2 linked regions of the Drosophila melanogaster genome follow. The gene in region 2 interacts genetically with the main gene of each other region. Each region holds a gene or a part of one and is shown on either strand. Other genes may lie near its edges.

Region 1 (5,162 bases), on a different chromosome or scaffold from region 2:
GCCAGTCCCCAGTCTGGCCGGTATCTGGGCTGCTTATTTATGGGTTTACATTAGGCTAAACCACTTTAGTCACACTTTGATGATCGGCATTGTAATTTCGCCTCCGGTTCTTCGATAATGGCAAGCATTTTGGGTGGCTTAACTTTTGGCCCCGAGCGAAAGCTCAATGATCGCCCCCGATACCAGTCCCTTGGTGGTCCCCTGGAGAAGTTGACGGATTGGCCAGCGACGTTCCAAGCTTGGTCGTTTACTTTTGGTTCGATAAGACCAATTATTATTTTCGACCAGCTCTTGTAAGTCACCCAGAAATGTTTTTAACTAATATCACAAGCAGCTGAGCTGGGCCGAGTCGAGTCAATTCCGTAGTGTTTATCTCATTTAAGCTGCACCTGAGCCCTCCATTCACCTTCCAGTTGTTGGGTTGTTTGTTTCTTGGCGCCGTCTTTTGGACCAGGTGCGATAAGGCAGCATTCTTGTTGTTGGCCAGGCGCCGTCATCATCGTCTGTTTCTGTACCTCTTGTTCTGGGGTGTACGTTATGGACCTCTAATGCACACACTCCCAATTATAATTAGTTTATTCATATCCTGTGTCGAAGTTGCTGCCTCATTTGTTGTTCTTTTCCACAATCTTAATTCAATTTACTGCCTATCAGACGAAGTTGCAACGAAGGGTCTAGTACCCTTCCCCTACGCCTGGTGAATGAAGTTGGTCAACTAAGTTGTTGATCTACTTATCCTATATAATCCCTAATATGTCTACAATTTAAGGTATACATTAAAGTTTTAGGTCTACAGGCAGAACACGTTCCCATTTGAGACTATCTATTAGCTAAATACAATAAAAATTGTATGTACTTGAACTTTTGGGTAAAAATGTATTGACACATGGATTTCGAGCTCTCCAAGGGCATTCGAGATTCGCTCCCAGGTAGCAAAAATTACCCCGTGTCCACCCTAATGGATCAGAGTGCCGGGACGGTAGTCCAAAGGTAGACGCAAGTTCAAATTGTGACTCAGAGCCAGGATCAGCAACTCAAGACCCACACAGAAGACCAAGAAGTTGTTGATGGTGAATGGCGATGCTGTAGCTACAAGCTTAGCCCGTGTTGGTGATGTTGATGCGGGGCCAATTACTCATAAAAAGCATGTTAAGAACAGCAGTCGCAGTGAGGAGCTATAAATTGGGACCGGAGGGGATCGGGGATCGGTGATCGGTGTTCGGGGATCGGGGATCTGGGGATTGGACAACTGTTGCCCGACGCCATCTCCATCTTCGACTGTTCCGCCCTGCCCTTTGTCATTGTCTTGTGTGGTTTGATAAGCGAATCCGAGGCAGACGGTGGGCAATTTGTGGACGACGACGTTAATTTCTCATGTTTGCATGTTCCATTTAGCGAGGGGCAGGGGACAAGAATTAATGAAGCACATCTCAAAGGGCCCTGGCGCCATCTTCCCGCTGGAGAAGATTTCTCTCGGGGGGTGTGTTGCCATCAACGATCAACAATCAACCGACATCCCTTCAAAAGACAGCGCCCCAAATTGGGAGCTGTCGAGCAATCGAACAACAGCGAATCAAATCAAATCAGAGTTCGTGTTCAGATAGCTGCCAAAAATTCGGGTGTATATCTACAAGATACAGTATCTAAGGTATCTGGCAACAAGTTTTAATTGTATGTTGCCGTAATTGAATTGAACTACATTTCGGTGGAGAACATATTTTAATTTTACGCTGTACGGGACAATCTTATCGAATCTTTTCGGTATTATCTATTGGGAATGATGCTACCTCATAGATACAAATACACTGCGACCAACTTGCGTCACAAATTCGTTTAAACTTGTGCTGACAAGTCACATGAGTTATAAGTATTAATTAAATCAGTTGGCCAAGTGCCCGATTATCACCAGGAAAGAGGGTCCCGGTTTTCCTTTGCCTTATCAGGACCCACATATCTGTCTATATTTGTGTTATTTTCACTATATATTCGGGGCCCTCGTCCGCGTCACGAAGCTAAGTGGTCAGTGGCTTTTGACAAGATTATCGGCGGGTGATAGGTGTGGCTGGTTAATTTCATTTATTCTGTAGGTACACGGGACAAGCATAAGACTATGCCCCCAACTTTCGACCAAAACCACCTCTAGAAGGGAAAAACATCAGCTAGACAAAACGTGATTTATTGGCGCTGACTGCACTGCTGACAATTTGTACTCTTTAATGGTGTTTAATTAAAACCAATCAGCGATAAACTTATCGAACTATCAGCTAAGGCAAAGGCGAAATCTTTCGACCCTCAAAATTGAGTTAATAAAATTCTATTCTACAGCGATGATACGATTTGGCTTGATATTTGTCTGATTTGATATGTCCAGGTGGGAAATTAATCAAATTTAATGATATTTATGTCTCGTCATACGTTTTATTTTTCCCTCTTCACATTGATTGGGATGATTAGACAGGTGAATTATGAAATTCATTTATGGCTTATACTTGTAGTATTTGTCTATCATGCTGAGAAGTAGGTTATTCGCAAGGTGTGATAATAAGTTTATGTGATTTGGGGATCGGAAGTGGCGGAAAAGGGTCAAGATTAGTTTAGGGCTAAAACAAAATTTATATAAATTGCTTGATTAAGAAAATCCCTATCTTTGATATGATATAAGGCAATGACTACGGTTGTGATAAAAAATTATGAGTTACAGTAACTAGGATTCCCTGTTTAATGCACGCTCTCGATATAACAAATCCTATTCTGTCCAAAGAATGTTTCATATATTTTTGATAAAATGTCTGAGACTAACCTTCCTTCTCCTCCTTAATCGCCAGATATTGTACGGATGGTCTTGATAATGTTTGGCCTTCTGAATCTCTCTCTTCCTATTTAACCGGGCTAATAAGCCCTGTAGCTCTCACCAACAGTAACTTTTGCCGACGGTCTTTTGTCCACTTCTTCCAACAACCAGATACCGAGTACCAAGCGTTCACTTTGATCGCGATACACCTTTGATGGGTATAACTTTGTACTACGCGCAGGATACCGACACTTCCGCAATCGTACGCACTTTAACCCGGAAACAACAATGTATCCCCAGCTCGACTATTCGAATCGGAATCGGAACCGAACGCGACGAGATGACCGGGCTGTTCCAGAGCCGGCAGCAAACTACACGGTGAGCAGTTGGCGCGCAGGTGAAAACTCTGGTGGGTCTGAAACAACAACCGGTTGGAGTTGTTGTTTTCCAATGTTGCGAGAGTGGTTTTCTGGCCTCCCAGTGTTTTTAGTGTTTCGTAGTGCCGCAGAGCGAGAGGGAGCGATGCGATCGGAGCATGTCGATCGATCGTCGCAGGTGTCGCAGGTGAGGCGGCAGGTGGCCGGGAGGCGGACTCCGCCTCTTTCTGGCGGTTCGGCCTATGGGAAAGCAGCATTCGACGGAGCGAAATAATGGCGGAGCTGCTCTCTACCGCTCTCTGTCGCTCCGCATGGCCCTCTCTCTCGCGCCTCTTCGATTGGGCGTAATTGAATAAGCCCCGCACAAAGTGCAATAAATTTGATTAGCAAAATGGAAATTTATTTGCCCCCCAGCTCAACGCGTTTTCCTCTGGTTGCCATAGATGCATTTGCCAGTTGTTGCGGCTCATAAATTAAATAATTTAGCCAAGACATATGGGAAAAAGAGTTGCGTGTATTGGGGTGGGGACTTGGAACCGGCCATATAGACCGTTTTGGTAGTGTTAAGGGCCTCGTTAATGACTTTGTTGGCTTTATTGGATGATTGTCGGACTGTAGACTGTTTTGCTTACCCATCGGAGTGGGGGTGTCATGCGGGGAAGGGCAATAACTTGAGAAAAAGGTCAATGAGCCAGCTATGTAGATGACTCAAGTTAAATTTGAATGAAGGATGTTTGGAAAAGCCGTTGATAGTTTTTAAATAAGTGAATATTGATTTAGATTGATACAACGTGAAATACAAGCCATAGGCTTGTACATCACATCATTTTTATCACATCCATCTTCGTAATTTAATGTAATCCAAGGAAAAATGTTTTCCGTCCATGATGAAAAACTGAACTCAGCCCAGCTCTTGCCATTTCCGAGCAGACCTAACAGATTCCATTCCTTGATAACCACTTCATTAGGCTTTATATAAGCGGGCCTTATACATCCACAGATCCATTCCAGCGGCATTTTGCACTGGAAGCGTCCCCCTCCTTCGACCATCATTCGCTGCCCAATTTGCTTGTATCGCAAGGCAATAAATAAAGTGTTAATGGCAATTGCATACAAATAGTTTGGTGTTGCCATTATATGGCCATATTATCCCATTGTCGGGCCTTAACAAGAAGTAAACAATGCGACGCTCTCCGAGTTCCATTGCAGATCGGAATAGGGATTGGAGTCGGAGTTGGATCGAGTCCGCTGCACTGCTGCCAATTTCACGCTTCATTTACGGGCGAAATGCAAACAAAAGACCAGCGACCATCGACCGTCGACGGACGAGGAGTGACCATTTGTCCGACGAGTTCAATGGACAGCAAACTCGGACCGGGATCGGGAATATCTGGTACCGAGCACGGTATCTCTCGTCCCCATGTGGCCGTGTCAATCAGCCCGTCGCGCAAGGTGTGCACTTATTATACCCAGTGTTCGGGAAGAGCAAGGGCTTGATGTATTTACCCTTGAATAAGATGGTATCCTCACAATTGAACTTCATTTAATTTATTTTAATCGGAATCCAAATTAGAGAATTGTCAGGTCTTTATATGTACAGATTCAGTCCGCAGCATATATGCTTATAAGAGGATATTTGATGGTTTATTCGAATAGGGAAATTTCGTAATTTAGCGGTGAAATGGATCTAGTACTAGGTATTCCTCTGTCTCAATACATCCGTGTGGACATTCTTCCCCGTTCGGACTCAATTCGGGTCCACTCTAAGCAGGCTCAGATCGCTCCACAGCGCGAAAGAGACGGAGGCTTAAAGTGAAAGAGTCGCGCATGCGCGCACGTCCTAATGTAATTATTATCTCAACAATTGAATTTCCGGTCCCGACTTCGACTCCGCGCTGTGGCTGTGGGTCTGCATCCACTCCTGCACATGGGACAGATGTCGCGCAAAACGCTACAAATGTGCACTTAATTGCGCAATTAAATAATTTTATTTC
Region 2 (5,045 bases):
GGGCAAAGCAGTTTTCAAGGCCGTCAAAGATCAACTGATTTCGATAACTTTTCGATAGCGCAGAACAAGTGAAAAGTGACACGCACACGCAAAAACAAAAAGCAAGCACTTCACAGCTTAACACCCTAATGTGCAATATTTTTGACTACCCCACATCCACGCACACAGCAAACGGCGCTCTTTAACCCACCACAGCCCCCTTATTTTGTGTCGAACATCTTCTTCTTCCTATCGAAGTGTGAGTGAGAGGGAAGACCGTAAGGAGTGAATGAGAGCGGGAGCCTCCTCCCCGACCTTTATAATGCGTTCTCTTTTACTCTCACTTATTTTATGCATTTTTTTTATTTTATCCAGTTTTGTCTTTTCTTGTTGTTTGTTTAGATCTTTGGCATTTTTGCAATTTGAATCCTATATTATTTCTTATGGTTTTTATTGGTTTTTGTATTGGTTTATTTTTACGATAAGTGTCTTGCTATAGATTTATCTAAATCGAAAGCTTATTAAAATTGCATTTGTTAAAGAAAAAGAAAAAGATATAATATTTTGCACAATTTTAAATGTTTTTTTCTACTAATTTTTTGTTACTTGCAATTTATCTAACACTTTTTCTTTGCTTTTTTTTCTTCGCCTCCGTTTTTTTTTCTTGCTGTCTCCAGTGCGTTAAAACGCCAAAGGGGCGTCCCTCTCCAGCTAACGCCCCCACCACCCCCCGCCACTAGTGCTCTCCCTTTCGCACTGCTAACGACAAGTGACAAACACAAGTTGCAGAAGAGGCAGCCGAACAAAAACAACAACTAAAAATAAAAAAGAAGGAAAGAAAAAAGTTTTTGCGACCAACAGTTGACAGTCGAAAAGCATTTGACATTTTACCTTGGCACGCACACAAGCACCGCCAAGTGCGAAAGGGACAAAACGCGGGCAAATGTCACTTTGAAAAATGCCATTGGCCCGGCCAGCGAGTGTGAGCGAGAGGGCGCGACGGCCGGAGAGCGTGAGAGCGAGAGAGCGCCATTTTGCGCATCTCTCAATGAAGCAACAATAAAAAAACCAGTTGCTTAGCAACGCCCCCTCTAACCGCAAAAAAGAGAGCTGGAGAGCAGGAGAGCCAGTGTTGCAACAACAATGGGCAAAATGGAAGGGCAACAACAGCAACAAAAACCAAAAATATCCTTACAGGAACAACGCCAGCACCAATCTTGAGAAAAGGATCAAAAGCCCAAGATCAACAGAAGAATGTGTGTAGAATTTAAAAAAAAAGTGAATTTTTGGATTTTTAAAATCTTATGAATCTAACAAGCATCTAGTAAGGCTAACTAAATATTTAGTTATCATGCTAAATATATCAAAATTTTCAAAGAACTTATATTGTGTATTATCGAACAATCACCTAAATTAAATCCTAAAAAAGGAAAAAAAATTAAGATTTCTTGATATTTTTTTCCAATTGTTATGAAATTGTATATCCTTTTCCAAAATATTTTTAATAATAATCTAGATATGCATACCAAATATTCTAGTCATATTTTTTCCATTTTTTTAGAAAACGTTTTGAAAAACAATTTTTTTATTTAAGAATAATATGATTTCTTCATGCCCAACACGAGAGAGCCAGGAGAAGCGACGGAAGCGAGAGCGAGAGAGCCTGCGACTCCATTGCAGCGCCGCCAGCAGCGCAGTCGGCGTCGCAGCAGCCCCAGCTCAACATTCGCTGCATCTCGCTCTGGCGCAGGCGAAATATGCGAGCACTGCTTGCCGCATTCGGTAGCACGAGTGCGAGCGATGCGCCTGCTAGCATCTCGCTCGCACCCAGGCGCGCCATTCGTCGCCGCTTCGGCTCGCCGTTCGTGTGTGTGCGTGTGCGCTCGGCTGGCAGCTATCGGTAATCGGGCCGTCCGCTTTGCCGTCGCGTTTGCCGTTTTCCGTTTTCAGTTTTTGTTTGACGTTCGCGTGAAGCGCCCGCAAAACGCAAAGCGCACGAGGCAACGCTCGAAAAAGGAGCCAACGCAGCCGTTTACCGTTAGTCAGCTGTTTACCGTTCCGCCGCGAGATCGAAAACCGAGAATTTTTGCCGTTGTTCAAATTTTTTTGCAAGTGAGAATCTTGAACAACAAGAAGAATATACAACACATAAATACAACAAAACCAAGGAATCGCCGAAAAGCCGATAGTGCAAAGTGTTTAAAAAGAAAAGAATCAATTTCATATACAACAACTAAAGAAATACTGGAATATAAGGCATAATAGAAGCGGAGGAAGTTTCTTCAACTCAAAGAGGAGCGGAATTTCGCGCTTTGTTTTTGTTTTGCCAAATTTGCCGCCGGCACACACGTGCTATCCCCCTCTTGCTCGCACCTTGCCACCCAGTCTTTATGTGCGTTAACCGTTAAGTGTGCAGTTGGGGCCCGCTCCTATCTTTCTCTCCCTCTCTCTCTCGCTTCCGCACCCGCACACACACACATATATCCACACCCACGCGCGCCTCGTTCACATACGCACACACACGCGGGACTTAACCCATTGACGGCCCCCCCAAAAAAGCAGTCACTCTTAACCCCCCCGAAAAAAAGAAAAACTCCATCCCCCCGGCATCAAGATATTCGACAACAAAATTCTCACCGAGGCCTCAAAAGCGCCCCTGAGGGCCGTCGCACTGGCGTCATATCTGGGCGACGGGTTCGCCGCCCTCGGTAGCCGCGCCCCCCCGCCCAAGGACCATCTGATGGCGTTCGGGGCGGTACTACACACCAGCCAGCACAATATCGGTAAGTGATCGTTTTGGGGAATTTAGGCATTAAGCGGTTAAGGGTCCAGGAAAACATAGAAAATCTGGGGGGTTTGCAGTGAGAATCCCAAACAGGCAAGTTCTTAAGGTTAGTCACATATAGGATACTGCAATCGAAATCATTTCATCCAAGAATCAGCACTAAATCTTTGAGTTGTGCTTGTAGTTCTATAGAATAATATCATTGGGAAGTCAAGGATGAAACATTTTACAGATCGAAAATAGAAGTTGTTTACATCTAATCTAGATTAAGTAATATTCATGATGTCCTCTATCGAAATAGAATGAAAACACCTGTTTGTAGGCTTCGTATAATATTTAAATTGTTTATAAAATCTGTAGACGAGTGATCAATGACACCAATGACACATTTCAAAAATACTTTTAAAAGATGGCAAAGAAGTGAATTTTCGAAAAATGTACTGACAAAAAAGTGGAATCTATTAAAAATGGCTTGATCGCTATGCCGACGGGATGTGGTCTTAGATTTTCAACTGGTGGTAGAAAGACATAAGAAAAGTAGGGTCGAGTGCGGTCGAAAGTCCTTAAAAGGAAGTCAACCCCTTGAAGGATCGGCGAAATGCGATCCCTAGGATGGTGGGTTAATACAATACCGCTTGCCCGCAATGGGTTAAGATGGCCAAGGAGTTTTTAATGGCGACGGCTGGGCAGCAGCAAAGTTTTTGCACTTTTGAACTTGCTTCCCGTTTTTAGGGGACCGCCGGCGAGGAGGAGAGGGGCGTCTAATGCCCCGTCGTCCATCTGCCGTCTCTTTTTCGCATTACCATTTTGTATGCTTTTGAAGTTCTTGTTCATCTGTTTTTGTTTCGGTTTTGTTTTTCCTCCTCTTGTTTTCCCGTTCGTTTTTGGACTGAAAAACTTTTGCGCAGTTGTCAAAGTTTTTCAGCTTCTTCTTCTGCCGTTCTTCCTCTACCCCATCTCATTTTTTTTGGCTTTTGTTTTATTTCATTTGCTCTCTGTCAAATTTTCACTTTTGCTGACTGTTTAATGTCAGGAACAAAAAAAAAAAAAAAAAAAAAAAATAGTAAAAAGGGAGCAAAAAGTTCAGAAATGAAGGCTCCCCTCTAGTTTTGTATTTTGTGATTAGTTGGTGAGGAATATTTCGTTTATATGTATGTATGTAGCTCCCCATCAATTTGAATAACTATAAAAAACATTTATAAACTACAAAATTAAGGATCTGCAGAGATTTAGAGACCGAACACTCTTTTCGAGTATATTTTGGATTCTTATCAAAAGAAATGAAATGAGAAATGATTTAAGTACATATTAGTAAAAATGTAGTAAGGTATTTTATACCACAAAAAATTTTTCAAAAATATTCTAAAATCCTCAATAGCTTCGTTTTCGAACCAGTGAGGTTCGATGGAAATTGCAACTGCAAATTCTCCATTTAACTTGTTGACATTGGACATACAGCGGCCGACACCTTACTTCCCCCATAAATTGGCTAGAGAACTGTTGGGGTTTTTGGGCTTGGGGCCTGCAGCTCCGGGGGCGGTTCAAGTCAAAAGCTGTCGACATTTGACTGGAAAATGGATGTTCAGGAAGCCGTAGACCCGCACAGTGGGCCACCTTACGACGGCGGACTGATGCCAAGTGGAGTCGTAAAGCTGCCAAGCTTTCTTCTTCCTGCTTCTACTGTTTCTCGGTTGGATTTTTTTGTTTTTGTTTTATTTCTCGCTCATAGACATACCCATTAGCTAATGACTAAGTGTTGGCAGTTATGAACTTAACTTGCATTTAGTTGGGGAAAACTACAAAGTAAAGTACCACTGAATATAACTCGGCTTAATGAAGATAACTTTTCCGCGCAGTAGCTGTATCTTTTTTCGAAAGTTCGTAAAGTAATTTGGAATCAGGAAAGATATCCAATTTTTTATGGTATAGTTAAGGTTTTGAAATGAGATGGAAAAAATGTATTGGAAATACTTAAGATAGGATACCAATTTAGGTCGTTGAATCTTTGGTAATGTGTTTATTCTTAAGGAATTTAGTTTTCAAAACTTCAATAGAATAGGGTAACCCCTCGTCGTTCAATTACCAATATCATCGGCCATTTCTCTGGTCGACTGCTCATTTTTCTTCGCATATATCTTGGTGGCAGCATCTTTTCAATTTTTATGTTGCTGCTAGCGAACACGGCAGCAACATGCAGCAACAGCAACGTGCAGCAACAGCAACGTGCAACAGCAGCAACGTGCAACAGCAGCAGCAGCAGCAACAAAAGCTCAGACCGGCA

The links.
Region 1: of Lim1 (region 2) and al, changing one enhances a phenotype caused by changing the other (phenotypic enhancement), as found in Drosophila melanogaster (2 studies listed by BioGRID).

The regions. Positions count from the first base shown.
Region 1 is NT_033779.5:376,120-381,281, reverse strand, and holds the start of al (aristaless), read right to left. Parts: upstream 3,171-5,162; 5' UTR 2,801-3,170; intron 1-2,800. UniProt on the Drosophila melanogaster protein: Involved in the morphogenesis of proximal and distal pattern elements in a subset of appendages. Also has a role in early imaginal disk development.
Region 2 is NC_004354.4:8,802,681-8,807,725, reverse strand, and holds the start of Lim1 (LIM homeobox 1), read left to right. Parts: upstream 1-1,921; 5' UTR 1,922-2,719; coding exon 2,720-2,762; intron 2,763-5,045.